Struthio camelus: one gene and its partners. The protein of the gene in region 3 interacts with the protein of the main gene of each other region in a pairwise test. Links are inferred from orthologs where the notes say so. Each region holds a gene or a part of one and is shown on either strand. Other genes may lie near its edges.

What was found.
Region 1: the proteins of KHDRBS2 (region 3) and RNA-binding protein 3-like interact in binary tests that used the Homo sapiens proteins (3 or more experiments, as listed by UniProt). The link is inferred for Struthio camelus from reciprocal best matches to the Homo sapiens genes KHDRBS2 and RBM3.
Region 2: the proteins of KHDRBS2 (region 3) and hemoglobin subunit pi interact in binary tests that used the Homo sapiens proteins (3 or more experiments, as listed by UniProt). The two-hybrid records come from large-scale screens. The link is inferred for Struthio camelus from reciprocal best matches to the Homo sapiens genes KHDRBS2 and HBZ.
Region 4: the proteins of KHDRBS2 (region 3) and CHTOP interact in binary tests that used the Homo sapiens proteins (3 or more experiments, as listed by UniProt). The two-hybrid records come from large-scale screens. The link is inferred for Struthio camelus from reciprocal best matches to the Homo sapiens genes KHDRBS2 and CHTOP.

What each region holds. Positions count from the first base shown.
Region 1 is NC_090979.1:807,350-815,365, reverse strand, and holds the start of RNA-binding protein 3-like, read right to left. Parts: upstream 3,235-8,016; 5' UTR 3,138-3,234; intron 1,351-3,137; 5' UTR 1,342-1,350; coding exon 1,239-1,341; intron 1-1,238. UniProt on the Homo sapiens protein: Cold-inducible mRNA binding protein that enhances global protein synthesis at both physiological and mild hypothermic temperatures. Reduces the relative abundance of microRNAs, when overexpressed.
Region 2 is NC_090956.1:19,172,448-19,180,005, reverse strand, and holds hemoglobin subunit pi, read left to right. Parts: upstream 1-4,223; 5' UTR 4,224-4,497; coding exon 4,498-4,592; intron 4,593-5,969; coding exon 5,970-6,174; intron 6,175-6,758; coding exon 6,759-6,887; 3' UTR 6,888-7,045; downstream 7,046-7,558. UniProt on the Homo sapiens protein: The zeta chain is an alpha-type chain of mammalian embryonic hemoglobin.
Region 3 is NC_090944.1:36,990,384-36,998,258, forward strand, and holds the start of KHDRBS2 (KH domain-containing, RNA-binding, signal transduction-associated protein 2), read right to left. Parts: upstream 3,217-7,875; 5' UTR 3,161-3,216; coding exon 3,070-3,160; intron 1-3,069. UniProt on the Homo sapiens protein: RNA-binding protein that plays a role in the regulation of alternative splicing and influences mRNA splice site selection and exon inclusion. Binds both poly(A) and poly(U) homopolymers. Phosphorylation by PTK6 inhibits its RNA-binding ability.
Region 4 is NC_090971.1:4,711,012-4,718,318, forward strand, and holds the start of CHTOP (chromatin target of PRMT1 protein), read right to left. Parts: upstream 3,086-7,307; 5' UTR 2,895-3,085; intron 1,638-2,894; 5' UTR 1,621-1,637; coding exon 1,556-1,620; intron 61-1,555; coding exon 1-60. Other genes in the region: S100A1 (protein S100-A1), read right to left, coding at 3,990-4,133, 4,227-4,367. UniProt on the Homo sapiens protein: Plays an important role in the ligand-dependent activation of estrogen receptor target genes. May play a role in the silencing of fetal globin genes.

The DNA of each region.
Region 1 (8,016 bases), on a different chromosome or scaffold from region 3:
TGGGGTCTGGGGGACATGGGGACCCCCCCCAGCCATGGGAGTTCTCCCCAAATATGGTGGTCTTGGGCAAATGGGAACCCTCAGGGGCACCGCTGGGACTTCCACCCATGGGTGTCCCACCAAATGCGGCGGTCTAGAAGAAACAAGCTGTCTCAAGAACACCACCATGGCCCCCACCCATGGGTGTCCCACCAAATGTGGGGGTCTAGGAGAGATGAAGACCCTCAACAGCACCACCACGACCCCCCCCCATGGGTGTCCCACCAAATACGGGGGTCTAGACCACATGGTGACCATCAGGAGCACCAGCATGACTACCACCCATAGGTATCCCACCAAATATGGGGGTCTGAGAGACACGGGGACCCTCAGGAGCACCACCATCACCCCTACCCATACATGTCCCACCAAATATGGGGGTCTAAGAGAGATGGGGACCCTCAGCAGCGCCACCGCGACCCCTATCCATGGGTGTCCCACCAAATATGGGGGTCTAGGAGAGATGGGGACCCTCAGCAGCGCCACCGCGACCCCTATCCATGGGTGTCCCACCAAATATGGGGGTCTAGGACAAATGGAGACCCTCAGGACCACCACCGTGACCGCCACCCATAGCTGTCCCACCAAATATGGGGGCCCAGAAGAGATGGGGACCCTCAGGAGCACCACCATCACCCCCACCCATGGGTCTCCCACCAAATACGGGGTCTAAAAGAGACGAGCTCCCTCAGGAGCACCATCATGCCTCCACCCATAGGTGTCCTCCTCAAATATGGGGGTCTAGAGATAAGTGGGAGCCTCAAGAGCACCACCATGACCCCCACCCCGGGCATGCTCCCCAAATGGGGGGGGTCTAGACCACATGGCGACCATCAGGAGCACCACCGTGACCCCCACCCACAGGCGTCCCACCATATATGGGGCTCGAGGAGACATGGCACCCCTCCACGGCACCACCATGACCCCTACCCATAGCTGTCCCACCATATAGGGGGCTCTAGGAGACGTGGGGACCCTCAACGGCACCACCGTGACCCCCACCCATAGGTGTCCCACCAAACATGGGGCTCTACAAGAACCCAGGTCCCCCAGGAGCACCATCGTGCCCCCCCAGGGCCGTCTCACCCCCTAGACAACCCCGAGACCCCCCACCCATGGGTGGCCCCCGGGCAAGGAGAAGGAAACCAGCCCTTGGGGAGGGGGGGGGGGTCCCAGGGCTCGGGGAGGGGGGTCCTCACCCTCCGAAATGGGCCCGAACGAGCTGAAGTGCTGCTCCAGGCCCTGCTCGTCCGTGTCGAAGTTGAGCCCCCCGACGAAGAGCTTCCCCTCCTCCGACGACATGGCGGGGGGCTGCGCCGCGTGGGGGGGGGGGGACACGCTCAAGGGAGTCCCAATACCAGGACACCCCCCCCCCAGAGGAACCCCCAAAACTAGCGAGAACCCCCCCGAGGTCCTATAGGACCCTCCTTGGGCCCTCTAACCACCCCCCCCAAGAAGAACCCCCTAAAACCAAAAATATCCCCCCAGGGCCCTATAGGACCCTCCTGGGACCCCCCCAACCCCCTCAGGGGACCCTCAACCCCCCCCCAGGGGACCTCCAATTCCCCCAAGGGTACCCCCAAAACCAAGGAGACCCCCCCAGAGCCCTATGGGACCCCCACTTGAGCCCCCTAACTCCCCCCCAAAGTGCTACAGGACACCCCGGGGTGCCCCAAGCCCCCTTGGGCACCCCCGAAATCAGGGAATTCCCCCCCCCCAAGCCCTATAGGCTCCGCCTGGGGCACCCCAAGCCCCCCCCCCCAAGGGCACCCTTACAACCAAGAAGACCCCTCCAGAGCCCTATGGGACCCCCCTAGAGCCCTCTACCCTCCCAGGACACCCCCAAAACCAAGGAGACCCCCCCCCAGGACCCTATGGGACCCCCTCAGAGCCCTCTAACCCCCCCCAGGGGACCCCAAAACCAAAGAACCCCCCCAGGACCCCATGGGACCCCCCTGGGGCACCCCTAAAACCAGGGAGACCTCCCCTGAGCCCTATAGACCCCCCCCCGGGGCACCCCAACCCCCCCAGGGAAGCCCCAAAACCAAGCAGACCACCCCCAGGACCCTATGGGACTGCCCTGCAGTCCTCTAAGCCCCCTAAGGGACCCCCAAAACCAAGCAGACCCCTTCCAGGGCTCTATGGGCCCCCCCAAAACCAAAGAGACCCCCCCCAGACCCTACGGGACCCCCCTGGGGCACCCTAACACCCACCCAGGGCACCCCTAAAACGAGGTAGACCCCTTCCCCGAGCCCTATGGACCCCCCCGGTGCACTCCAACCCCCCCAGGGGACCCCCAAAACCACGGAGACCCCCCCAGGGCACCCTCAGCCCCCCAGGGGTCCCCCAAAACGGGAATCCCCCTAGGAAACTCCCTCCCCCTCCCCCGCCCCGGGAATCCCCCCTAAAACCCAGCCCCAAAAATAGATCGCTGTGACGTCAGAACCCCAAAGGCATCCCCATCCACCCCCCCGCCCCCCCCCCCGGGCAGCCCGACGTCATCCCCGCCCGGGGATGCCCTGACGTCACAGCGCCGCCTCCCCGCGGGGGAATCCCCCCCCTCGTCCCACGTGGGTTCCCCCCCCCCGCCCCCGCCGCCCGCGCAACGTCACAATCCCCCCCCCCGCCCCGCACGTCACAACCCGCCGCCCCACGTGGGTCCGGCGGCCACGTGCCGCCCTTTCCCGCCCCGCGCGTCCCTAGCGGCGCGCGCATGCGCCAGCCGCCGCGCAGGCGCGGGAGGGGAGCGGGACCGCCCCTCGCCCACCCCCGACCTCCCTGCCGCCGCGCATGCGCACAAACCGAACGCTCCCCCTCCCACAGCGGAAGGGGGGGAGGGCGCCGCGGCGGCGCATGCGCAGAGCGACCACGGCGCCGCCGTAGCGTGAGGAGGCCGCGCATGCGCAGAGAGCGACCACCGCGCCGCCGTAGCGGCGGCGGGAGGGGAGGCCGCGCATGCGCAGAGCGGCCGGGCGGCGGGAAACCGCGATTATCGCGACAGCGGAAAGGAAAGGGGGGGGGCCACAGAGTCGGAGCAGGGTGGGGGGGGTCGCGACAGGCGGTGGGAGGGGGGAGAAGGGAGGGAAGGGGCGACTCACCCGAGGGCGACGACAGAGGGGCCGGAGCGGCGGAGACTGCGGCCGCGGCGCCGCCCGCCCCCGCCTTATATAGCGGCCCCGCCCCCGGCCGCCCCCTCCCTCCCCACGTGACCCGCCCGCCACGCCGCCCCATTGGCCCGCCGCGGGGCCGCGCGTGCGCGGCGGGCAGCGAGGCTCCGCCCCCCCCCCCCCTCCGGCAGCGGGCGAGACCATTCGGGGAGCGCGGGGGGGGGGGGTGGGAGGAAGGAAGAGGAGGGGGAGGGGGACGAGCGAGCACGCGGGGCCGCTCGGACGCCTGGGCCCCTTTGGGGGGGTGTCCCCGGACGCCTGGGCCCCTTTGGGGGGATGGGGGGGTTACCCGGACGCCTGGGCCCCTTTGGGGGGATAGGGGGGTTACCCGGACGCCTGGGCCCCTTCTTTGGGGGTTACCCGGACGCCTGGGCCCCTTGTGGGGGGGGTAAGGGGGGTCCCCGGACGCCTGGGCCCCTTTGGGGGGATGGGGGGGTTACCCGGACGCCTGGGCCCCTTCGGGGGGATGGGGGAGTTACCCGGACGCCTGGGCTCCTTGTGGAGGGGGGTAAGGGGGGGGTCCCCGGACGCCTGGGCCCTTTTTGGGGGGATGGGGGGGTACCCGGACGCCTGGGCCCCTTCTGTGGGGGGTACCCGGACGCCTGGGTCCATTTGAGGGTGGGAGAGGGTCTCGGGACGCCTGGGCCCCTTTCGCGGGGGGGGGGGGTGATGGGGGGGTACCCGGACGCCTGGGCCCCTTTGGGGGGATGGGGGGGTTACCCGGACGCCTGGGCCCCTTCTGTGGGGGTTACCCGGACGCCTGGGCCCCTTGTGGAGGGGGGTAAGGGGGGGTCCCCGGACGCCTGGGCCCCTTTGGGGGGGATGGGGGGGTCCCCGGACGCCTGGGCCCCTTCTGTGGGGGTTACCCGGACGCCTGGGCCCCTTGTGGGGGGGGGTAAGGGGGGTCCCCGGACGCCTGGGCCCTTTTGGGGGGATGGGGGGGTTACCCGGACGCCTGGGCCCCTTGTGGGGGGGGGATGGGGGAGGTCCCCGGACGCCTGGGCCCCTTCTTTGGGGGTTACCCGGACGCCTGGGCCCCTTGTGGGGGGGGTAAGGGGGGGTCCCCGGACGCCTGGGCCCCTTTGGGAGGATGCAGGGATTACCCGGACGCCTGGGCCCCTTCTGTGGGGGGTACCCGGACGCCTGGGCCCCTTCTTTGGGGGTTACCCGGACGCCTGGGCCCCTTGTGGAGGTGGGTAAGGGGGGGTCCCCGGACGCCTGGGCCCCTTTGGGGAGGGGGATGAGGGGGTACCCGGACGCCTGGGCCCCTTCTGTGGGGGGTACCCGGACGCCTGGGTCCTTTTGAGGGTGGGAGAGGGTCTCCGGACACCTGGGCCCCTTTCGCGGGGGGGGGGGGGTGATGGGGGGATACCCGGACGCCTGGGCCCTTTCTTTGGGGGTTACCCGGACGCCTGGGCCCCTTGTGGGGGGGGGGTAAGGGGGGGCACCCGGACGCCTGGGCCCCTTTGGGAGGATGGAGGGATTACCCGGACGCCTGGGCCCCTTCTGTGGGGGGTACCCGGACGCCTGGGTCCATTTGAGGGTGGGAGAGGGTCTCCGGACGCCTGGGCCCCTTTCGCGGGGGGGGGGGTGTTGAGGGGATACCCGGACGCCTGGGCCCCTTCTTTGGGGGTTACCCAGACGCCTGGGCCCCTTGGGGGGGGGGTAAGGGGGGGTCCCCGGACGCCTGGGCCCCTTTGGGGAGGAGGATGAGGGGGTTACCCGGACACCTGGGCCATTTTGAGGGGAGGATGGGGGGGGTCCCCGAACACCTGGGCCCCTTTCGGGGGGGTTTGGGGGGGCACCCGGACGCCTGGGCCCCTTTGGGGGGAGGGATGGGGGGGTACCTGGACTCCTGGGCCTTTTTGGGGGGGGGGCAATGGGGGTACCCGAACCCCTGGGCCCATGTGGGAGGGGGGATGGGGGGGTCCCCGGACACCTGGGCCCCTTTTGGGGGAGGATGAGGGGGCACCCGGACGCCTGGGCCCCTTTGGATGGGGGTTGGGGGGGGCACCCGGACGCCTGGGCCCCTTGGGGTGGGGGATGAGGGGGTCCCCGGACGCCTGGGCCCCTGGGGGGTGGGGGGTGAGGGGGTCCCCGGACGCCTGGGCCCCTTGGGGTGGGGGATGAGGGGGTCCCCGGACGCCTGGGCCCCTTGGGGGTGGGGGGTGAGGGGGTCCCCGGACGCCTGGGGCCCCCCCCCACCAGCAGACGCCGGACGCCTGGGTTCCTCGCAGCCTTTAATGGCTCCCGTACAGCCGAAACGACGCGGCCGCCCCCCCCCCACACCCCGCCCCGGGGGCTCTATAGGGGCCGTGGGAACCCCCCCCCGCACCCTATGGATCCCATCCCCCCCCCACGCACACCGGCACCTATAGGCGCCCCCCCCGGAGCCCACGCAGGGGCTGCGGGGCCCCTATGGCGGCGCCTGGGCCCTAGAGACACCGTGGGGACGTTATAGATGCTATAGGGGATCGCAGAAACACGTAACAGCTCTTACACCCGCAGTATAGATACTATAGAAAACCCTTCTTGGCCTTTATATCCTTTACATGAGCAGCATAAGCAACATATAGAATCCCGCCTGGCCCTTATAGATGCCATAGGGGCTCCCATAGTGCCCCCCCAAGAACCCCCCCTTTACCCCCCGGGGCCCCTATACCGTCTCCCGGCTGAGTGCTGCCCCCTTGCGAGGCCCTATGGGCGCCATAGGGGCCCCCCCGGTCGGACGCCGCCGGCCTCACGGCAGCGCTATAGGTGCCGGAGGCGCCGCCAGCGAGGGGGTTTGTCCCTTATATCCGCTGTAGGTTGCTCTGTGTGAGTGCTCCTTGCCTGGGGCTACTATAGGGGCTGTGGCAGCCCTTACGCAGGCACTATAGATGCCTTAGGGTCCCCTATGGAACCATTATAGCTGCTATAGGATGTCCTATACAAGCAGCACTGTTACGGAAACTCTCTATATGCCACCGCCTTCCCTCTCTGGACATTATAGATGCCATACAGTGCTTTGCCCGGTCGCTACGGGCGCTATAAGGGCACCTTAAAAGCGCCCCGGGGGGCCCCTATGGCAGCACCGCTCCTGAGCTATTATAGACGCCCGAAGGTCCCCTATAGAGGCATTACGGAGCCTATAGGTTCCCCCGCCAGCTGCCACGGCAGCCCCACACCAACACCCCCTACGGGGGCTATACGGGCCCCCCCCCCGGCACCGGCCGGCCGGGCGCCCTTCCCTATAGAATCCATACGGACCCCGAGCCAGGAGCGACCCCGGCTATAGGGGCTGTAAGGACCCCCCCCCGCCAGCACCCTATAGAGGCAGCATGGCCCCCCCCCCCGGGGCGCTATAGGGGTCTGGGCCTATAAGCGTCTCATGCTGCACATATACATATATATATATACATTAAAAAAGGCGCCGCTCGTGGCCTATGTACATATCTACACCCACGTACGGGATCCATAGGGGCGCTGGAGGGGCCGATCCTGAGCGATGCCGGGGACCGCGGGGTAACGCGGGGGCGACATTGGGGGCCTGGAGTAACCTCGGAGTAACCTCGGCGTAGGTCAGGAGTAACCTCGGAGTAACGGGGTGACCTTGGCGTGAGCTGGGAGTAACCTCGGAGTAACCTCGGTGTAGACCAGGAGTAACCTCGGAGTAACCTCGGTGTAGGTCAGGAATAACCTCGGAGTAACGGGGTGACCTTGGCGTGAGCTGGGAGTAACCTCGGAGTAACCTCGGTGTAGACCAGGAGCAACCTCGGAGTAACCTCGGAGTAACCTCGGTGTGGACCAGGATTACCCTCGGGGTAACATGGCAGTAACAGTGGCATGAGGCAGGAGTAACCTCTGGGTAACGGGGTAACCTTGGAGTGGACCAGGAGTAACCTCGGAGTAACATGCGAGTAAGCTCGACATAAACCAGGAGTAACCTCGGGGTAACACGGGGGGGGACCTTGGCGGGGACCAGGAGCAACCTCGGAGTAACATGGCCGTAACCTTGACGTGAGCCACTAGTAACCTCTGGGCAATGTGGGGGTGACGGTGGGGACCAGGAGTAACCTCGGGGTAACGTGGGGGTCCTGGTGTGGACTGGGAGTAACCTCGTAGTAACATGGTGGTGGTCTTGGTGTGAGCCGGGAGTAACCTCGGGGTAACGCGGGGGGCGACCTTAATGTGGACTTGGAGTAACCTCGGAGTAACATCGTAGCAACCTTGTGGTGAACCAGGAGTAACCTCGGGGTAATGTCGGGGAACTTGGCATGGACCAGGACTAACCGCGGAGTAATGGGGGGGGGGCTTGGTGTGGATCGGGAGTAACCTCGGAGTAGCATGGGAGTAACCCTGTGACCCTGGCCTGAACCCGGAGCGACCTCGGAGTAACATAGGAGTAATCTTGGCATGAGCCGGGAGTAACCTCGGGGACACCTTGGCTTTGACCAGGAGTAACCTCAGAGTAACATGGTGGTAATATCGGCGTGGGCCAGGAGTAACCCCAGAGTAACGTGGCAGTAACCGTGCCGTGGACCAGGAGTAACCTCGGGGTAACATGAGGGTGACCTTGGTGTGAGCTGGGAGTAACCTAATGGTAACATGGGGGCGACCTTGGCCTGAACCAGGAGTAACCTCAGAGTAAGATGAGAGCAACCTTGGCGTGGACTGCGAGTAACCTCGGAGTAACGCAGGAGTAGCCGCAGTGTGAACCACGAGGAACCTTGGAGCAACATGGGAGTAACAGTGGAGTGACCTCGTGGGTCAAGCACGAGTAACCTTAGAATAAATTAAGAGTAACCTCAGAGTATCGTGGGAGTAACCT
Region 2 (7,558 bases), on a different chromosome or scaffold from region 3:
AGCGCATGTCACTCCGATACAGTTTGCCGGGTGAACCCCGTAAACGCACACCTCCCTCTGGATTACTGAGCGAATCATTGCTTCCGCTGGCAGCTGTCGCGGTGCGTTCGTCTTGCCATTTGTCTTTTGTGTTAAACTGAGATCAGAAAATTATCTGCAATTATTTTAGAGAACGGCCTGGGTTTTGCATGCAACTTCTCCTGTATTTGATTGCAACGTGTAGATACTCGAACACTCTGCGATATCCCCCCTCCGGGTTGTACTCTGCAAGATTCCCGTCCCGGGCATCAGGCAGAGCAATGGGTGGTCGAAGAGTGAAAGGCAGATGAGCACACACAGCGCCGCGCTTAATCTGCGCTGCCCTTCTCCGCACGGCACATGATAACAATTGAAGCAAAAGTAGGTGTCACTGAGGCAAGAGAGTTGTTTGAGAGTGATTAAAGAGGAGTCATATTATCACAACAGAGCATTCTTCATGTGCCAGCACTGGGCAGCTGTGTTAAATTTTCCCCGGGGAGTCTTCTCTGAAGCATACTTTCTTTTTTTTTCTTTTTTAATAATAAATTACACGCATGTTTGTCATTTCAAGCTCTAGGAGATAGTAGCTCCATTAAAACAAAGTTCTGCAAGCCCTTTGAGCACTGGCAGGAAACGAAAAAATAAAACCAGGGTTTAGCGTCTACTTTCAAGATTTGCAAAACTCCATCTGCCCCAAATTCTTCAGCGTTAGAGTCAGGGGTATGTGCCACCGTTATACATTGAAGGCGCCTTCGAGAGGAGGGCAGTTCCCATGCAGAACGAAGGCCCCAGAGGAACGTTGTCCTCGAGCTCAGGGAGGGATCGCCATTAGCTCAGTCGCTGGATTTACAGTCAGGGCTCAAGGAAATTATAATCCCACTTTTATAATGAGCAAACATGTCTTTTGCTTGCTTCTGCCCTTTAAAAAGAGAAATAAAATCCATTTGTGCCTCCTACGGCCTGAATTTTGAGCAGGAATAGAGAAGACCTACGTTAATACTAAAAATTGCTTTTCTCACCTGCTGTTTGGTTTGTTCTTCCAGGAGCAGGATGAGGGTGGCTCGAGAGACCTGAGGCCGAGCTGCTGTTCAGGATGCCAATACACGTGCCAGCCTGGCCTGCCGCTCTTTTCCAGGGCTTTGGCAACACCTCACAAATTGGTGATAAAGGCTAATTATCTGCACAAAGATGCACATCCTGCTACGGATTTATGAATAATTCTGAGAAGCAGCAGAAAAAGCGGAAGGCGCGTCAGGTGCATTCTCCTGGGGGACACGGCTTCGTAGTCAATCCCGTGGGCAGAGGAACAACAGCGATCGTGTTGTCCAAGTTACTCCACAGGGCAGCTGGAGCCCCGAGGCAGAGGGACTTTGTGGAGAGGTCTATGTAAGGACGGAAGGGTGACTGTCACCCTCCCACATCACGTTGCAGCATGTGGCTATAGACCATGCTTCTCCCTCAGGGGCATGAAGAGCTCCCACAACTGTCTCCAGTGCAGCCCTGGTCCTAGGCAAGTGGCGAGCTCCTTCTCACAGACCACCGTTGCCTTTTGGTTGCTCTGGCTTTCATGGTAGTGCAAGAGTAACTCTGTGGAAATGAATTAAAATTCAATAAAGATTTCAGAGACGAGCAATCAGATACGAGCTAGCAGGCCTCCTGTGCAGACGTCGCTGTGATCCTCGTGCCTGCGCAGACTTTAATTCTCCAATCACGCAGAATCGATGTCCAGGCTAAACAGGGGGCAGCACAACAGGATGGAAGGTCCCTGCCTCGTGCCTGGCTACATCCAGTTCACGGTGACTTCCCTCGTGAGTCGACTGAGTGACCTGTGATTGAAAGCACCGTCGCTGAGCAGAACTTGGAGCGTAGCTCTGCAATGGGCAATGCAAGGGGGAGCACTCTGTTGGGGGGAATGAGACAAAGGCGTTATATAAGTGTACATCTCACAATAGCATGATTATTTTCAAGGTAATTTTTCTATGGGAAATTGTAAGTTTTTTACAATGCATGTAGCAAGGGGTGATGAATGCAATCTGCCTTGACACTTCTTTAAGCTGTTTAAATTGAATATTATGTTTCCCTGTGCCTTGGCTGAAGGATTACTGCCAGCACTATCAGAGGAAACTTTTAATTGGAGACTGCTCTGCACCGCATCCGTGTAGCTGAGCAGAGTCAGCTCTGGGTTTTCAGTTGGCCACAAACTCATCTTAATGTGGACATATACAGCACATACACTACCCTGTTCTGGACATACTCTAATCCGCACGTGACCTAAGTTCCCTAGAAGGGCTTTCTTCTAAGCAGGATGACCGTGTCTGGGAAGCATCTTCTGTTGCAGTCGTGAAAGGCAGGCATGTCTTGGTGAGGACTCTGGCTCATACATCAACCTTCTCAGCGCAAGCATGCAGGACTGGGCAGAGAACACGATCTGACCTGTCTGATTGTACCAGCCAGCTCTCCATGCACCACTGCCAGCACACAGTGGTGTGTATTGTTTCTGTAGTTTATCAGGGTGGTGGAGAGATTTACTAGAGCCTGGGCTACACGTGCTGGCAGCAGTGACCATCTCCAGATGGGTATTTCTTTGGCACTCTGCCCAGTTGTCTGTGATTACAGACCTATGCTGCTTTTTCCTTTTCTTATTTGGTCCTTCACCCATCAAGTGTGGCTGTGCCCTGAAGCTACAAGCCTTTTATGGTAGGACCAGGTTTTCCTGTGCATGTCCAGCAGGTAGCCCAGTGCACCCCAGCACCGTCTATGCTGCAAGGGACTATTTTACAGCACAAGGAATCAGTAAGAATAATACAGCTAGAAATCAAAGACTTGCAGTGTTAGACATTTAGTGACGAAACTCGCAAGAGAGCTGTATATAAGTGAATTATAGATTTAAGAATTGCTGGGAAACATCTATGTTACTGTCTGAGGAAGCAGCCTGCTCTCAGTGCTTCAAGATCTGTGGACAACAGGAAAGCACACGTGTCTGGCTGGGCTTTCTCATATGCATGTGCATTTTTCTAGGACCATGCTCAGTTTCATAAACTCAATCTCCATGTATCCAAATAAGTCATTACTACTGGTGATGTTATGAGCAAAACTGATTGCGGAATGAGTCCCTAATTCTTTGTAAGAAGCTGGGAAAATGAAGTCCTGGCAGTGCTGAAATGAATGTCAAAATCTCCACTGCTGTCAGAGTCCAATACTCTGACCACGTTCTTTTAGATATTCCGCGCATGGAAGGTGTAATGTTTAATATCAAATTTACTTTTTTGAAGATATTTGACGTTACATAGGATTCTGATGTAACAGAGTTACAGGGCAAAAAACTGAAATCACAATACGAGTGTAAATTATATCTAGCAAAATATAGCCATTACAATATACAGTTCAGTCGTAATACAAATGTAATTCCCCTTACCAGTCTCTATAATATGCTCACCATCATGATGCTGGGCATCCCCACACGCTGGGAAGGAATACGTGGGTTGAAACCAGCTCAAGACCATTGATTTCTTCAATGTTGTTTTGTTAGTTGTTCAGTTTTTATTGTCTATATTGGGTTTAGCCATGTATATGCTCCCCCTATGCTGGTCTGCTTAACTCACAGACATTCATACTCTTTCGATGAACTCGGGAAAAACATTTACACCATCAGTTGATCCATTCAACTGTGATATAGTCAGTTGACCTAATCAACTGACACAGCCGTTTACCTACAACACAGGTCCCTCTGGTCCCCTTTGTGTTGAGATAAATTCATCTTTCTTTGTAACAGCTGTGATCAGTCACTTCCTGCATTCTTCTGGGGGCTATATGGGCACATCACCCTTGCCCATCTCCTCTGAACCTTCTTCCATTGTGAGCATTTATTGGTCCGTCACGCACTCCCACTCTGAACTATACCGAGCATTTCCCAGCCTGACCCAATGCTACCCAGGAATCATTTTGTATGAGTATTGGACCATGCAGGTGCCACGTGTACAGGACGTGTATGATCTGCCACAGCAAAACCCAGAGGCCTTGTATACACATCTCTGAAGCAAGGAGGCAAATGGATTTTTCTCCAAAAGGATTTTTCTCTAGACTTCTCAGTATGTTTGAAATCCACACACTCCTCAGCTTAATGATGGGTCCTAATACTCTGTCACTGGAATTTTCCACCATTATCTCACTGTTCATGTATCAATACGCGTCCAGACAATTTCTTCAGGCCACATGGCCATTACGTTAAGAAGCAAGAAGCTGATAACGCCAGCAAACGAGGAGGCCAGTGCACTGACCCTTGCCGAAATGGACATTGTTTCACAGGGAGATAAGAGTCTCCCACCTCCATGGGAGGGCCTCAGGAGTGACCAATGAGCGTGGACAGCTGCCAAGATCCGCTCTCCTCTTCCTCTTTATAACCAGGGCTGTGAGGGCAGTTAGCACAAGCTTGCTCTGAGCGTTCGTTGCAAGGAGCCTGAGACTGCACCCTCTTGCACAATGACTCTGACTCAAGCTGAGAAGGCCGCCGTGATCACCATCTGGTCGAAGGTGGCTACCCAAGCTGACGCCATCGGGGCAGAATCACTGGAGAGGTAAGTCACCCAGCACCCCTCCTAAAAGGGTGCCTCATCTGACTTTGCTATTAGGATGCTTCTTGTGTAAAACGTATATGAATGAGATCACACTGGGACTGGTGTGAATTAGATTCTGCAGTCACCTTAACCGCCTCCATACACATGCTCAGCCTTTCTGGCAGTGGGGAGCTGGTCGGCTCTGCCAGTGGCGCGCAGAGCCCTGCGGGACAAGGCCCAAGGCTGGCTGGCTACTGAGCATGTGGTGTCAGTGGATTTTGGGCTGCACCAGGAAACACTGATGAGGAAGGACCTAGATATGTCTTGGAGAACAAGCCTCGTGGCAAGTCCTTTAGAATTTAGGCAATTATATAGAAATTGCTGATGAGCTCTATGATGTTATTTAATATGTAATTTACTGGAATTACATCTTTGCTACTAAATTCTAACAGATGGCCTCAAAACTTCATGGCAAGACATAATTTTCTATTCAATTCTACAGGTTTCCTTCCCCTTATAGCAACCCGGAAGAATTCATAGCCAGGTGCACGGAAGAGGAATTTAAATTCATTCATACTCAATGTCCTGAAATAGGGTTATCACTGCTAGGAAATGAACTTAAAGCAGTTTATTGTATGAGTGATGCAATTCCTATCACCATATAATCAGCATTAATAGATGATAGCTGTCCAATAAATTCATTGGATACTCACGTTTCCTTGAGCCAGTTGATGTGTAACAGACTGTTAGGAAACAACACAACTGGACCCTGCATGAAGTATATCACAGCAAACAGAATGGGCACTGAAGGAATCCACTGTAAATACAATAGCTTCTTATTATCCCAACAGGGATGTCCCTTTCAAATAAGCCAAGCCACTCTTAAGACTAAGGAAGTGGCTACTTCTTCCAAAAGAAGTTCACCCAAATTCAGCAAGCTGGCACAAAAGGGAGAGTAGTCTGTAAATTGTTCCAAAGCAATTAAGTTAACCAAAGTTATGTGGTTGTTATGTACAGATCAATCTAATGTACTGTGATGCTCTTTCTGAGACTCAGAGTACCAGTCATATTGATTCTGGTTCATTCAGCTCAGATTAGTTTGCAGATCCTGCTAACTGGCTGACAGCGTAATACACGAAACGTAGGTGACAATTTGGGTGCATTATTTGTTAATAATACATGAGCTTTAGACCCCTGGCTAATTTGTACATACTACCAAAGTGTTTTAAGAGCAGAAACATAGCAGGTCTTAATGCAAGCTTCAGACCCCCAAAGCTCTGTTACAACAGCTGAGCGAGTGTACTGCTGCAGCTGGTGGGTTTACAGCACACTTGTCCTGAGGTTGAGATCCTCCATGCAATTTACGCTGCTGAATTTAATTCTCTTGTTCTCCTCCAGGCTTTTCTCCAGCTACCCCCAGACAAAAACCTACTTCCCTCATTTCGATCTCAGCCAAGGTTCTGTTCAGCTTCGTGGTCATGGCTCCAAGGTCATGAACGCCATTGGGGAAGCTGTGAAGCACATTGATGACATTAGAGGCGCTTTGGCCAAACTCAGCGAGCTACATGCTTACATCCTACGGGTGGACCCAGTGAACTTCAAGGTGAGTGAACACAAACAGACACTTTCAGGGATGAAAACTGCCAGTCACAAAATTAGAGACCAGGGATCATTTCAGCTAATGGTGGCTTGATCCCTTACTGCACTGTACAGCCTTGTCAACTCATGTTGCTGCTTCGTCATCTGATTATTAACCTGAGATTGGATCTTTTCATGAAAGATCTGGTCTAGCTCAAGAAAAGAACTGTTCAGGGGGTTCCTGTGGTCTGTGTTAGACAGACTTGAGTCCCTGCTGTCTTTGTAGTAATTTATGAACCTTTCTCACATGTCAGAGTATAATATCACCTTTCTTGAAGAAAGCCTTAGTAAATTCTAAACAACATTTCCACTTTTCTTGCATTGCCCATTGGTGAAGGAGGAAGGGACATTTGAAAAGCGGGAGTAGTATCAAGCAGTGCCTTTTGCCCTGTGCAAAAGGCAATTCTGCTTCTTCACACTTTAGCCAGTGTTAACTGGCTGGGACATGTGTTTGTCGTCCAAGAGCAGGCTAGGAGTAAGGTTTGTTACAGATCCCTAGACTGAGGTCTATACTGATCACAATGGATTCTGTCCTGTTTTCCCTTACAGCTGCTTTCCCACTGTATCCTGTGTTCTGTGGCTGCCCGCTATCCCACTGAGTTCACCCCAGAAGTTCATGCTGCGTGGGACAAGTTCCTGTCCAGCGTTTCCTCTGTTCTGACTGAGAAGTACAGATAAATGGCTTTCACAGAGGGTGAGGGATGCACATCCATGGCATGCCACAGCTGCCAGGCTTTGGGGTATTCATTTCTTCCTACGCAGTCCTCTTAAATCCTCTATATAGGGGTTCAGTCATCTGCAAAACCCAATAAATAATTCAACCATGAGCTACCGTCTCTGTGCTTTCATCTTCACTTGCTCCACCTATGCCCCACTGTTCAGCCAGGGGTATTCTGACATCCCTACAAAAGATGGAGGGGAAAACGCTAAGCTGTGTAAATTCATGTGCACAGTGGGAATAACACACCATTGAGCAGAAGCCCAGAACAGGCTAGAGCCCTGTGACTGCTTCTGCTCACTGTTCAGAAGGTGGGGTTCACCAGGGATAAGGCTCACCAGGAATCGGTCTTTCACCCTGTTGGGATAGTGGATGGATCCAGGCTTTTCATTTGGCCTATCTGGAAAAAAGGGGTTAAATGTATGTTTCCTGTGCTGCTGACCCCTGGAACTGTCAGAGGGCACTTTGGAAAACCAGCACAGTCCATCCTGAACATAACTTGCATTGCCATAATTTGTGATGTGCCCAGAGCCATGCTGGGTCATCGCTCCTGCCCTGATGCATCCTCCACAGGGTCTAGAGAAGGTACTTGATCTGTTTCATGAAAACCTTGGGGTATCATGCCTGGTAG
Region 3 (7,875 bases):
AGATTAGCTAGAACAATTATAGCAGGCTTGCAAGAAAGACATTTTAGGCACTAATGTTCATTAAGTGTAGAGGCTAAACAACTATATCCCTTTTGAATAATCATGCCCTGTCCTACAAGGAGCTCTATGACATCGAGCCATATGAGACTAACCGACATGCCTGGAGGTTTCACAAACTCTTAGCATGCTGCATAGAATAATCTGCAGACTCAGGGCTTAACTCGCGATTAAAGTAAAAGACCTGATTCTCGTTGCCTTCAGAACGCCAGCTGAAAATCTGAGGTCAATTGTACTGTCATTAAACAGAGCGAAATTAGCTACCTCATTACCCAAGTAGTGTTGATATTTCAATAGGGAAAGATGCTTTTACTTTGGCTGGCTCTTTTTCCAAAGGGTCTTTTTCCTTTATGTTTCTACTAGAAAACACAGGCAATTGGTTTTAATAATATACAATGTAAGCTATTTCAAAGCCACGCATACATGGAAAATTGCCGACATATTGTTTGCGACAAGTAGCTGACACTCTGGCTTATTAAAATAATGCTGATATAAAAGAAGTTACAAATTATCAGAAAGGTCCAGTGGTTTGTAGCTTCCATGTGTCACCCACATCTTCACAGCTTAATAAGTTAGGCACGTCTAAACATAAAATACATATTTGTGGGAAGGAAAACGGCAGAGTCTAATATTAAAGTTTAAAAGAAACAGAAATATTTTTACAAGTCAATCCAAGTAAACCCAGGTGTCATGAACTGAAACTGTATTTCTGTAATGCTGCTCTCTTGTGTGCCCTTCTACGGTTTCCAACAGGAGCATGTCTCTTCTCAACCTCAGCTCCTAGCAAGTGACATGAAAAATCACAGCACTTTCAAGTCAGAGCTGGAGGCTCTCCACTCTGAAGCAAAAAATCTGCAACCAGCACTTACACATTTTATACTAAATCTACTGGCAATCAAAAAAGCTTAGCACACCACAAAAATAACACCTGACTACTATTGGTATGTATGCAGCTATTCATATATTATTTTTCAAAGAACAGAAATCCATAATCTGGAAGCATTGCTTTAAAGCCAGCATAGCCTAGAAACATATTACTACAGAGATTACGCTACTGCCCTTGCGCTACTGCTCCATGTTCTTCTGGCATCCCAAAAAATTTCCGCCTGTTGTACACATTTTTCCTTCTGCTTATACCCAGGAGCAATCAGTGCATTCACTCCTGTTTCCTTAACTAGTTTGACTCTTACTTTGATGAAACTGTTTCAATAGTTATCATATGTTAGACTCTAAAATGAATCTCTAGAAAGCTTGACAGATGGTGTTTTGAAGGATAATGCCAGGTATCTGGTGTGAATCTGACATTAGCATTCCCTACAGCTTCCACAGACAATTCACCTTCATCTTTTTTAAAAATTCACATACTTAGTCCTAGTTATACTAAGAACGAAGGAGAATGCTAATCACTTATGCAGTCTCACAAGCCACTCAAAATGCAATTTTCGCATGAACTTGAAACTCAGAAACTCTGTCATCCCCCCCCCTTTTTTTTTTTTTTTTAAAAACTTTACTTCACACACTTTGAATTACTTCCTGCATGCATTTTCTTTCTTTCACACACACACACTCTCAGTAGATACCTCCCCCTTCTGGGAAAAGATCAAATTGCAAGGTGCAGAAAATATGCCCCTTTCCGAAATAAACATATGGTACATATAAAGTCCTTAATAGAAAAACAACTATGGGAAGTAGCGTGGTTATCTCTTCAGCAGCAGGAGACCAATTACAAAGGTATACTAAATGTGTCATTATTCATACTGAACTTCCAAACTATCAAACAGGGGCACTTTAATAAAACCTAGACTCAGTACCTTTATTCACAATCAAGAAAACGTGTAAGAAAGAAAGACAACAGAAAGACTGCTGGCTTAGGGAAAGACAAGTACTGCTAGCATAGTAAGTTTTAAGTGGTTGTAATTTTTCCTTAAGATGTTACAGAACTTTGGAAATTATTCACTCCTCTTTGAATGTGAGATAATTGGAATTTGCGACTCTCTCAAGGGCCTAATCATCCATTTCTTTGCCTCAGTCTCATTTAAGGGTTTGATAGCCTCTCTTGATTTATGCACTCTTTACTACTTCGTTTTGATATTTGGATCCAAATTTAACAGTGACTTTAGAAACGAACAATATACACCTCCGAAGGAACAGAGGGAGGGGGCCGTCACAGATTACGGTGCTGTGCAACTGGAAGCGCCGTACTGCAAGGCCTGCGCTCAGTAACCACGTTGAGCGGGTATGGGGGAAAAAATAGGCTAAATTATAAACTTTTAAAAGACTCTCCAGTCAAAAAAAAAAAAAAAAAGGCCTCAACCAAAATGAGGAAAACAGAGCTACGTTATGATAATGAAGAACGAGATGTTATGAGTGTTTTATTCTAGATCGCCCCACGAGTCCAGGAGTAATTCATCACGTCCTGAATGAACTTGTGGCATGAAACTGATAAGCCCCAGCCAATGAACGCCTGACAGAGCGGAGTCAAGGAAAACAGTGCTGCATTGAAGGCGTAACAGCGTTATCATATAAGCCTTATTATTAAGCACGGGAAAGAAGAGGTAATGAGTTCAACGAGAAACTAGCGTCTGCCTGTGTGTAAATAAAACCAGGGGCCATGGCAGCATGCTCCCCGAGCCCAACCAACTGCAACGGCCCGTGGGACCAGCGCGGCCATCCGCCTTCTACGGACAAGCCTCGAGGAGAGACCTTCCCCTTCCCCAAAGAAGTAAAAGGCGCATTTCCCGGCGAGCGGCCGCAGCAGCCCGCCAGGGCGGGAGCTGGCGCGCCCGCGGTTAAACCCGGCCCCAGCGGCCGCCGCCCGACGCGCTCCGCACCTGCGGCCGGCAGCGCCGGTGGCCTCCGCTCCGCGGACCGAGGCTGGGGGGGACGTTGGGGGGGGGGGGGGGGGACGCCGAGCCCGCCGCCCGCCGCCGCCGCCGCGCTTCCCGCCCGGCCCGGCCCCGCCGCACCGCCCCGCTGCCGGGGCCGGGGTCGGGGCCGGGCGCGGAGCCTTACCGTCGGCCAGGAGGCGCATGGCGTGAACAAAGGAGGGATCCAGGCTGTCCTTCTCCGCCATCAGCTCGGGCAGATATTTCTCCTGCTCCATCGCCTCGGGGCCGCGGCGGCCGGGCGCTGCGGGGCGGGCTGGGCTGGGCTGGGCTGGGCTGGGCGGGCGGGCCGGCTCGCTCCGCGCCTCCGGCCGCCTCGCTGTGACCCGGCGCCCCGCCGCTCTCAGGTGCGCCGCGCCCGCCGCCGCCCCGACGGCGCGGCTGCCCGCGGCGGCGGCGGCACCGCCTCCTCCTCCTCCTCCTCCTCCCACCCCCCGCCGCCTTCGCTCCACGCGGGGGGCGCGTGTGTGGGCGCGCGTGTCCCAGCGTGTGCCGCCGCGCGCCTCTGCCCCCCCCGCCCAGTGAGCCACCCGCTCCCACCGGCCGCCCTAAGTAGGGAGGCGGGGCCAGGCACGCTCAGTCCCCCGGCTCCTATTGGTGGCTGTGCCCGGCAGGGCGGGGGCCACGCGGAAACTTCGCCGCGCCATTGGCTGTCGCCGGGCGGTGGGCGGGGCGCGGAGCGGTCTGGGGCGGGGGCGGGGGCGGGGGGAGAGGACCGCGCGCGCGCGCGAACGTGTGTGACTGGTGTGTTGGGGGGGGTGCGTGTGCCGTGTCTCCGTGTGTGAGCGTGCGCCTGTGGCTCTGTCTCTGAGTGCTTCTTTGTGCACGCGTGTGTTGTGTCTGCCTGTGCGCTGTGACTGCGTGTCTGCGTCGCTCCTGTCCGTGCGTCGCAGCGCGCGCGCGCGTGTGTGTATGTGTGTGTGTGTGGCTGCCGCTCCGTGTTTCGGTGCGTGGCTGTGGCTGTGCGCGCTGTGACTGCGTGTGTGCCCGTATATGTGTGTGCGTGCGTGCGCTCAGGAGCGTGTGTAAGCCCATTTGTCCGTGCCCGTGGGCTCCGCGCGGCTGCCCCGCCCGCGGGCCCCGGCGGCCGGGCGCTGTCCGCGGTGCTGAAGCCGCCGCCGGCCGCGGGGCGGGGCGGCGGCCGTGGAGCAGCGGCGCCTCGGCGGCGGCGGGTCGCTCGGGGCCCCGGCGGCTCGGCGCGGCGCGGCTGCTCGGGCCCGGCCGTGACCTGTCCGCGCAGGAGGGGCCCGCGGGCGGGGGCGGTCTCGCGTGGGCAGGCAGCCTTGCGCCTCCTGGCGCAGCGAACTGAAGCTCCTGCACCCGCACCTGAGGAATTACAGCGGCTACGCAATTGAAGTGTCTACAGCTGGAGTAAATAAAACTGATTTTGTTTTAATTAGAATTTAGCTTTAAATATACGTTTACTCTAGCTTATATTTATTCAGGATTTTCCCCCAACAGACAATTTACTAACATGTTTTGATTCTGAGAGTAAACAAAAGATGTTTAGCTCATCTTAAGGCTGTTAAAACGTCATTTGTGGGGCCTCAAGAACAAACTGTCCATCATACAATACTATGTGTGCTATGCTCAACCTCAAGGTGAGATTCTTTCTGCTTTTAACTTAATATGTTTTTCTAATGAAATAAATAGTTACTGCCATAATACACTTTCAAATCACCTACTACTGTTCCTCTTAAGGGATTTTTTTCTATAGTGTTTGGATTTTTATTTGTACTTTTTTCAGGGGATGAAGGAATAAGCAAAGGTAAAAATCAGGACAGAAAGGTGTTAAACAGCCATAGAAAATGGTCTGTGATGTCTTCAAAAACCTGAGATATATGCAGACAGCCATTACTCAATTTCCACTCAGTATGTAGAGTAATTGAGGGCCTCCATGTATTTATAAAAATACATATAGCATAGATGTAGAAGACTGAAGTGCTACTATTCCTATTTCTAGAAAGAAAGGAAGAAAGAAAAAAGAGAAAAAGAAAGAAAGAAAGAAAAAGAAAGGAAAAGAAAGAAAGAGAGAAAGAAAGAAAGAGAAAGAAGAGAAAGAAAGAAAGAAAAAGAAAGAACAACAAAGAAAGAGAAGGTATGAGAACTATGTTCCCCACTGAGAAAGGCAAGGAGCAGGAAAACAGTTTGATTTCAAGACATGTGAAACACTTCAGAAGTAGATAATAAGACTCTGATTATGGAAATGACTGCTTTAATTGGCAATCAGCTTTTGTTACATATTGGATGTGGCGGTAAAGGTGTAAGTCCTCATTTAAAAAAAAACAAATAAAACAAAGACAAACATAGAACTAGGGGCAGTTCTTCTTCACATGGCTCACAATTTAGCAAGAAATGCCATATTGTTTGCGACAGAACTCAGGACTATCTTACCTGAGAGAGAGATCGCCTGTGTCTTCATACCATACTTCTGCAGCTCTACTCCTCAGAATAATTCAGGCTGGTCCCCCTCACTTCAAAAAGAGAAAAGATCGGTGACAGCTCTTGCTCCTGATTCTCTGAGAGGTCTTGCTCCTGATTCTCTGAGTACATCTTCAAAACTAATTTAAGCCATCCTTACTCCGAAGCAAGGCTGGTCTTCTAGCCTTCAGGGCATGCTATGTTCTCAAGTATAGGAAAGAAGTTGTTTGATGGGCTTTCCATCTGGGGTGCTATAAGAATAAGAATATAAGAATATAAGAATAGTGTCACTTTAGTTTGTTTAGTTGCAGTTATCCCACTTAGCTTGTAGAAAGCACCTACAAGAAAGCACCTTGTTCAAACACCTTTATGTTTATTGAGCAGTGGGAAGGGCTACATTCATTGAACTCATTTCTCTGGTCAAGGGAGTACAGAACAGGTTGGCATGCTGATCTTTTTACAGCAAGGTAGGCAGAGACAAGTTTTCTGTAAGTTCCATTTTCAAAAGTTATAAAGTTAAATTGACTTTCAATGATACTTAGGCTGCAAAGCCATTGAGATGCTTTTCTAAATTTTACCTTAGACCTCATTAAAAAAAATCATTAAAATCTGTCAGACAGGAAATATAGACCTCTAATGACATCAAGCATGGCTTCATTGCTAGTTGGAGATTGAATTCTTTTTCATAGCTACTAAAAACCAAAGGCACATTTTATAACTTTTTAGTTTAAAGTGTCAAGCCAAATTAAAGTTTATCCGTACTATATTTTATTATTAAGTCTGATAATGAAGCAGATCACAGCATACTAGATTATAGCTTATTTGAAGATAGACAGGTAGCAATCATTGTGTCTTTTTGCCACTACCAGCTGAATGTATCTCCCTTGTGCTATCATGTAGCACTGAAGTCAAAAGGCAGTGGAAGCATACTGCTGTAGAAAATCTCCAAACTTTCCAAATATATATTTTAAAAACTAGGAAATCCTTTGAGAATATGCAGTAGAATGAATGACAAGTGTGAGCACAATGACAGTTACATTTCTGAGTCAGCACATTAGTCACTGTAATAAGTTAGATGAATTAGATGAGATCACACCTTTATGTGTGTGATTACACCTAGGCCTTCATACACCAGAGACAAGATTAGTCAGGAGTTTTCAATTTCAGAAATCCCATTTGCTTTCAAATTTCTTCTCTGTTTCACCCATTTTTAGCTAGGGATAGAGATTATCTGAGCTCCTAAATTGACTACACATCAGCGTAAACAGCCTAGGGAGTTTCTACCATCAGCTGTGTTAACTATATCCTATCCTTAAACCAGAGTTATTATTCACAATATAAGGAATAAGGAAGCAGCAATACATGCATAAGTATGTCTCCCCCTCCTTTTCTTTAGTATGTTTAATTCCTTCTTGGGACAATGGCTGTACCTGGCTTCTATCCGGCCACTGCCCCCTCATCTGTGAACCCTAGTCCTTGGAGTTCATGCTGCTTTACAATCTGATAACAGGACACCTGGACGCATACCTGGACACAAGTTGTCAATGCAAAACTTATTTCCATAATGAGAACACTTGGCTGAACAACCCAGAAAGGAAATGTACTTCAGCAAATACACCAATCACTGTAGATCACCTTCTGACTAGCCACTTTGCACAGCAAAAGACTCAGGCATTTGGTCCAACTCACAGCTGATTGAATTCAGTGGAAAGATCCTGATATCAGTAGATTTTGGATCTCTCCACTAATACAACTGAATAAACACTGATAGTCTTAAACAGAGACGAATCATACAGATTAGTCTGTAGTCTATGAATCATATAAAACATTTTCAGGTAAAAAGTGCATCATCCCTTATTTCTTTCCAAAACATTACATTATTTGATATATTTCTGCTGTGCCTAGCACTCTGATAGAGTTCAGTGTGAGTTCCAGTTGTACGATGAATGCAGGCTTATGCTATGACTTGGTTTATGATAACCATGTCACAAGCTCTTAGTTCTTCAAAACACACATCAAATAAAATTATGTCTATTACAGCTCTATTTCACATTTAGCATTCTTAATATGTTGCAAAGAAGAAATAACTGAAAAGATGACCTAAGGTAAATACAAAAGGAGGAAATATAACCTCCCTGAAAGGAACTTAGAACAAAAGACCTCCTTTATCATTATTTTGGGATGATTTTAACCCAAAGGATAAATTGTAAAACAGCAGCTGAAGACAGAAAAATTCTTAAATAGAAACCGATTGCAAAGAATAAAAGGCAGCCTAGAATGCCCCCTCTCTTTTCTTTCTTCCCTGTGATGCTACCAAAACTGACAGAGTTGTTGTGAATCTATGGCATAATTACCAATTTCCCCTCTCTCCTCCACATGCAGACAACCACCAGATCTTATATTTTGCTTCCTCATGTTTGGGGCTGTATCTCTGCTGTTCCTTCTGACCTTCTGGACAGCTAATCTACTGCTGATCACTCAAACACTTTCACGAAAGTGTTCCTCCTGATCA
Region 4 (7,307 bases), on a different chromosome or scaffold from region 3:
TGCATGGTAGCTCGAATATTCACTGGCATCGGCTGTTTGTTCTTCAGCATGTTAGTAAAGCTTCAAGGTCGAATAAAATGGGTGTTTAAATAAAGCTTTATTACACACATTTATTGGCATTTCATGGTTCTCAAGATTGGATCTCCAGATCCCATGAACCTTATGTAAAGAGTGGTACTTAGGTCACGTCATATGTGAGTTACGTATTCCTTGTTTTCCACAAATGTGCAAGAACTGGAAACTTAGAAATGATGTTGTGTATTAATTCAGAAGTGGTAAAGGTTTAGTTTACCGATTTTAGAAATGGAAGAAGGAATGAAAACAAGCAATAAGCAGAGATGACCATGACAGATGGAAGAGGACATTGCACAGAAGTAGAAAAGCCAACTGAAATCTGACTGCAAAAGCCAAAATAACCTCACGGAGTTGAGAAAATTCTCTAAAGACTCAACCCCAGAAGACAGCTTTATAAAAGACTTTGCCCTGAGAACAGACTGGTATGCCTCCAGCACACCACAGAAACGGTGCCACAAGAAACACCACCATCTGAGTGTAGTCATTTATAGAAAACGGTTTATCTAGCACTTTCCTTGACGCATGAGGAACCTTCTGCCTTTAAGAGCTATATGGCCTAGAACATACAACAAGATGGTAAGCTTCCTTAGCAGCAACCCATCAGCTTTCTACTGTGTCCTAGGAGTTACCAGGACAGCAAAATAAAGCACTACAGAATGAGTAGTATGGACTGACCAAACAGCAACAGGCCAGCAAGCATTCACTGCACCTCACTATTCCTCTTCTCCAGGAGGCAAGCCAAGCACTGGTTCAGACTAAGTCTCGCTGCAGCACTTGCTGGAACAGGAACTGCATACAAATGGTTCATTTCTCCCTGGCCTAATGCTATTAACGTGGTTAATCCAAGAGCGATTAGCGAGAAGGTGAAACATAACTGAAGCATTGCTGTTAGTTGTCACTGCAGAACCACAAAAGCGTAATGGCATGGAAAAGCAGGAGGATATTCAGCAGAAGAAATAAAGAACTCAGCACCAAGAAAAGAGAGAGATGGAGATGGAGCAAAGCATTTGCCTCTTACAAGGCCCAAAACGTTGTTAAAGGGCCTTTGGGCTTGTTTAATGGCCTGCTGCCTGCCTCTTACAGGCCAGACCACATGCACGTGTGTCTGCCTTGGACAAAGCAGCAAGCCTACTGCAGCTTAGGTAACATGCTACCATGCTGCAGTGTCAACTATATAAATGTAAAAACATGTGGAAGAAAAAGGGAGGGTGCGAGGTTTCTCTTTTTTGTCATAACACATCCCACCATACTTATGTGTTGAATAGTTTAATTTTAACTGCTACGGATAAATTTCTCCAGAATAATTGCCCTTTTAACCTTGTGTACCACATTTGTTGCAGTTTAAGACAGAGGTGCATAGCCATCTGCTTGTTATAGCGAGGTTAAAACAGGGCAGAAACCACGTTGGTTTTTGGAAACCAGACAGTGATAATTAAGTAAAAAATTTCTTATGAGCTGAAGCTGCTGTTGGCTTCCTCACCGCTCGTTCAGAGACATCTTGGTGGTGCTCTTTAGCACAACCTTCGGTGCTGACTGTGCAGCCATCTTCAGATCAAGAGAATCTGCAAAACATGAGAGCCTGATTTAAAAAACAGCAGGAGAACTCGCGTTTACGTGGTTAAACATTCAGAAACCTGCATTCCATTCCAGATCCTTTTGTGGAGAGAGCCAAGAACTTGGCAAAAAACACTCTATCTCAAGTTTCCTAGGCCATTGTCATGATGCAGTAAATTTATTAAGCTAGCAAGTTATGCTGGCTCATCCCTTACTAAATAGTCTTCTTTTCAGAAAGGGAAGATTTGCCATTGGTAGGAGTAATGCTGCAGAAACATAGTCCATCAGCAGCCAGGACGGCACCCAAACATCTTGTTTGGTACTGCACCTAGTGACACTTCTACAGCTTCTAAGCAGTTAGTATCAATAAAACAGAAAATGGGGTTTCCATCTTAGAGAGGCATACCACACACTCGGTAATACCAAAAAAAAAAAACCCACACACCCCAAAGCTTATTCAAAGACTGCTTTTTCCTACAGAAGACCTACATACTTTCAAAATATTAAGGTCACATTCCCTCTTACTACCCTAGGATTGCCACAGCTGGGCTGCACAGGGGTAACCTATATATGTTTGCGCAGTTACTTCAGCTTTCGAGTATGTGATACTCTAACAGGCAGCTCACCAGCACTCACAATGCGGCTCTCTAATATGAAACCTCATCACATTGCTCATGAGAGCAGCTAAAGGGATTTAAACCCAGCTGTTATTATCTTTGGATCACAGCTCAGGCCTGAGAGCAGTGATGACTACAACTTGAAACGCTAAGGAACACAGCTCAGCCCGCTAACCGTTCGGATCAGTGCCTCATTTTTATGATTAATAACGTATCTAGCGCTTAGGTGACTGGCAAAAGCACTTATCCTCAAGCTACTAGCAACAAATAAGATTTTTACGATGTTCTACAGCCCGCTCAGCTAGAAACGGAGCTAATAATCCGCTGCAGCACTTCCCCCACACCGGGGAGGGGGGGAAAGGTGGTTTCAAAACAGCCTTTTTCCCCCTGCCCACGCAAACTGCACAGAGCAGCTGGCGGGGAACGGCGCTGACAGGAACCCACCGAGCGCCGGGCCCGGGGAGCAGGGCGAGGCCTGGCCCCGCCGGCCCGGCCCAGCCCCGCCCGAGGCGCCTCGCGAGGCCGCCGGGGCCGAGCCCAGGGCAAAGCACCGCACTGACCCCGCAGGCGGCGGGCCCCCACCGCCTGAGGCCACCCCGCGCCTCCCCTCAGCGCCCCCCGCCCCCGGCCAGGCCCGGCGGCTCTCACCGAAGCAGACGGTCGCCAGGTCTCCGGTGGGGGCTGGCCGGACAGCTGACGGGTGGGGTGCGGGGCTCAGCTCCGATCCCCTCCGCCCGCTCCCGCCGCGCTCGAGAGCCAGCGACAAAATGGCGGCAACGACCGCGGCACCTTCCCTCCCTCCCCCAGCAGCCGCGCCGAGCCGGGCAAAATGGCGGCGGCGGGCGGGCAGGGCGGGCAGGGCGCAGGCGCCAAGCGCCGCGCGTGACCACGCCCCCTGCCGGCCGAGCGGGGGTCCGGAGGCGCATGGGGGCGTGGCCTAGGGGAGGGGGCGTGGCCCCGACGGCGGGGCGAGGCCTCCGGGGCGGGGCGTGGACGGGGAGGGGCGGGGCCTCGACGGGGCGGGGCGGGGCCTCGACGGCGGGGCGGGGGGGCGCGGGCGGCGGCGGCGGTGCGCGGTGCTGCGCGGTGCTGCGCGGCCGCCGCCCGCTCCGTCGAGGCTGGATGCCGCTTCCACAGCCCCCCGCGCCCGCAGCACGTGTGGGGCGGGTGTCCCGGCCCGCGCCCCTGCCTCCTCCGCCCCTGGGGGGGGAACAGACCCCGCCGTCGGGCAGAGGGGGTCCCTCAGGGATGTCTGTGCGCACCCTCGGGTCGCCCACGAGCAGGACACAGCTCCGGCCGGCCAGCGCCGCCGCTGCCCCTTGCTTTCTGCTGGGTGCAGCGGGGCGCCGCGCGCCGGCCCCGCCGAGACCCCAGGGGCCGGAGCGGGAGGCCCGGGCCGTGCCGGAGGGGGCGTTCGGGGAGCGCTCCCGCCGGAGCCGCCAAGCCCGGCAGGCGATGGCGCTGCCGGCCCTGCGTGGGGCCCGCCGGGAGGAGGCGGGAACCGGTTCCTCGAGCCCCGTGGGGCGCAGCGCCGCTCGCCTCCGCCGCGACGGCCGGCCGGTCCCGCCCCGCATCCCCGCGCCCCCCCACCCCGGTGCCCGCCATCCACGGCGACCAAGGAGGTGACAGCACGCCGCCGGCTGGGTCGCTGCCTTTATTGCGGAGCCGGATGCCGGCGGGATGCCCCGGGGGGCGAGGGGGGGGCGGGGGGCTCCGCGTTTCGGGGAGGGGGGCCGGCCCGGCTCAGGCGTTCTCCCAGAAGAAGGTGTTGCAGGCCACGGTGAGGGCGGCCACCAGCACCACGTACTCCTGGAAATCCACCTCGCCGTCGCCGTTCTCGTCCAGGTCCTGCATGATCTTCTCCACGGCGCCCGCGTCCTTCTGCGTCTGCGGAGGAAGGGGCAGAGGGCGAGCGCCGGGGCTCGGCAGCCCCCCCGGGCCCGCGCCCGGGTGGCCCCCGGTGCCCGCGCCGGCCCCTACCTCCAGGAAGCAGCCCAGCTCGCTCTGCAGCAGCTCCTTCAGCTCCCTCTTGCTCAGCTTGTACTTGTCGCCCTCCTTGCCCGAGTAGTGGTGGAAGACGTTGATGAGCGTCTCCATGGCCCCCTCCAGCTGCGACGCCATGGCTCCGAATGCGCCCGGCCGCGGCCGCCCGGGCCCGTTAAATAAGCTCCAAGCCCCCTCCCTCCGGGAGGATCCGACACCGCGGCTGGCCGGCCGGCCTGGCACCGCCGGCACGGAGCTGGCGCGGGGGCCAGCCGGCGCGCGGGGCGCCCGCTCCGGCCCCGGCGGCGTTCGCGCCCCGCCGAGGGGGCGTTCCCGGCCCGGCATCCCCCCCCCTTCCCTCCCACCCTGCTTGCACCCCGTGCCCCAAACGGGACGAGCCGGGCGCTGGCGGGAGCGAGGTGCCGGCTGCCGGACGGGGGGAGCCACGGGGGTCGGCTCCCGGGTGGGCGCTGGGGGCCAGAGCCCCCGTCCGTCGGCCCCCCTCGGCCCTCGGCCCCGGCAGCCGGGCCGCCCCGGCCCCGCGGGGTATCCGGTGTCCTCGGAGCCGGGTGGGGGGCCCGGCGGTGGCTATCGGGTGACGCAGCCCCGGCCCCTCGGGGCCGCCCGGCCCCCCCCCGGGCGCAGAAAGGCCTCTTGTTCGATGCAAAAAAAAGAACAAAAGCCCGACTCTCCCGGCGGGGAAGGCTGCTGCGGCCGAGAAACCGGATTCCCGGCTGGCATCAGCGAGGCCGATAATCCCGGCTCTCGTTACGGGCCGGCGGCCGGGTGGCGCGCCGGGGACCGTCCCCGCCGCGGCCTTTCCCGCGCCCCGGCGCGGGAACGGCCCCGGGGGGGGGCACCCGAGCCCCGGGGCACCCCAGGGTGCCGGGCGGCGCTGCCCGTGCCGGGGCCCTGGGCTTTTCGCAAGAGCCGGGTGGTGCCGGGGAATCTTTATCCCAGATTCCAGTCCTCGTTGGGAGCTAATTATATCCTGCTCTCCTCTCCGGCTCGCCTCCCGTTTCCACCGGGCGCGCGCTGCCCTCCGGCCCCCCCGTCCCGTCCCCGCCGTTGTGCAACGCGGCCCGGACCCCGCGCGGCCGGGCGCCCTCTTCCCAAACCGGGAGCCGGGCCGGCGGGCTGGCGCACCCCTCCCAACCGCTTCCAGCTTCCGACTCCCCTGCTCCAACCGGTCGCTCCGGTTGCTGGTGCCGGGGCTGGGCCCCATCTCGCCGCCCCGGCCCACGGCTGGCGGGCGGACGAGGCTCGCGGGGAGCCGGCAGCCCTTTCCCGACGGATCGGCGCGCGGCGGGCTCGGGGGGAACGGCCCCCGGGATGCTCCGCGCCGGCCCCGGGATGCTCCGCTCCGCCGCGGCGCTCCTCCCGGCACCTGCTCCCGCTCGGCCCCCCAAATTCCAGGGCTGGCCCCAAATTCCTGGGGCCGGTGACTCAGCCCAACCCGTCCCGACTCACCCCGGCGCTTCCCGCCGCCCATCCCCGGCCCCTGGCGCGGGGCTCGGCGGAAGTCCCGCTCCGGCCCGGCCCCACGGGGCTGCACGAAACCAATTCCTGCCCCGTGAGCTGGGGCCGCGGACCGCCACGCCGCAAGCGCGCGCGCGGGTGGAGTGAGCGCGTCAGGGCTCAGCGGCACCGGCCCGGTGATGCCCAGGGTCGGATCCCCAAAACGCCCCGTGGGAAAACCGGCTCCCCTGGGAAACCCCAGCCAACCTGGCAGCCCGCCCGGCTTTCCCGACCGATGCCGCCCCGGCGCACCCCGGCCCCCTCCCGGCCCCCTCCCGCTGGCCCCCGCGGGAACGGCCCCGCCGCAGCGGGCACCTGCTCCGGCTCCTGCGCCAGGTGGAAACCGGCCAGGCCGACCGCGTTAAAAATACACCATGATTAAACGCTGGGGCAATTCCCACCCCCTAATTAATTGGGATTAATTAATTTCTACAAAGACCACTATTAATAGGGATGATGTCAGTGGGCAGCTGAGTCACCACTCTCACTCACTGCGGGTCGAGCCCGTCCGGGTCTCGGGGTGCCCCGGGCCGCGGCGCTGCCTTCGCCCCCCCGCCGCGGCCCGCTCCGCGTCGGCGCTGAGCCCGGGCTGCGCTCGGCGCACGTGTGGTTTCACACCCCCACGAAAAACATGCTGGCCTTCGGCTGGTCGCCCCGCCGCGGCCCCGACCCCGGCCCCGACCCCAGCCCGGGCGGGGAGGGAGGAGACCGGGGGACGGCCGTGCGTCCGGCCGCGCGTCCGGCCGCCGCGGGAAACGCCGCGGGAAACGCCACGGGAAACCCTACACCGCGGGCCGGGGACAAAGCGCCGCGCTCTGCCCCGTAAAGCCTCGCCGGGGGCCGCGAGCGGGGTAAGTAGGGACCCCTGTCCCGGCGGGACCCCCCGGCCCCTTCCCGCCACCCCCGGATGGCTCCGGCGCGGGGCGGGCCGGCGGAGCCCCTCACCGAAGCGTTCGGTCCTGAGGGTCTGCGTAGCCCCCCCCCCCCCCCCCCCAGCCCCGGCTAGCATCCTGCTCAGCCCCGCGGAGCCGGCAGGAGCTGGGCTGAGGCCTTGCAGACTCACTGCACCCGGGGCGGGAGGGGTGTCACGAAGCCGCCCTGCACCGGGGCCAGGGCAGAGGGCCCCGGCGGCCACCGAGACGCGCCAGCGGGCAGGAGCGACGAAGTGGGGGGGGGTCACATCACCGGGCCTCCCCGGCGCCCGGGCACGGCTTCGTCGGCCGGCGGGGGGCTCGGGCGTCCCGCCGGCCGCCGCGGGAATCGCCCCGGCTGAGCTGCGCTCCCCGGCCCCGGCGCCCGCCGAACCGCCCGCCGTTCCCACGCGCCGCGCCGGGCTCGGCGGGCAGCAGCGGCCGCGGCCAGGCGGGAGGCGTTTCCCGGCCCCACGCTGGCCCCGGGCCAGGCTCCGAAACGCGCCCCGGCGGCTCCCGCTCGCACCTCCCCGCCGTATAAAACGGCGGCGGCGCGACGCGGCCCCCGCACAGCCCGGCCGGCCCGCCGAGCAGGTAAGCGGCCCCCCCACCCCGCCGCCCCGCGCCGGGCTCCCGCCGGCCCCCCGGG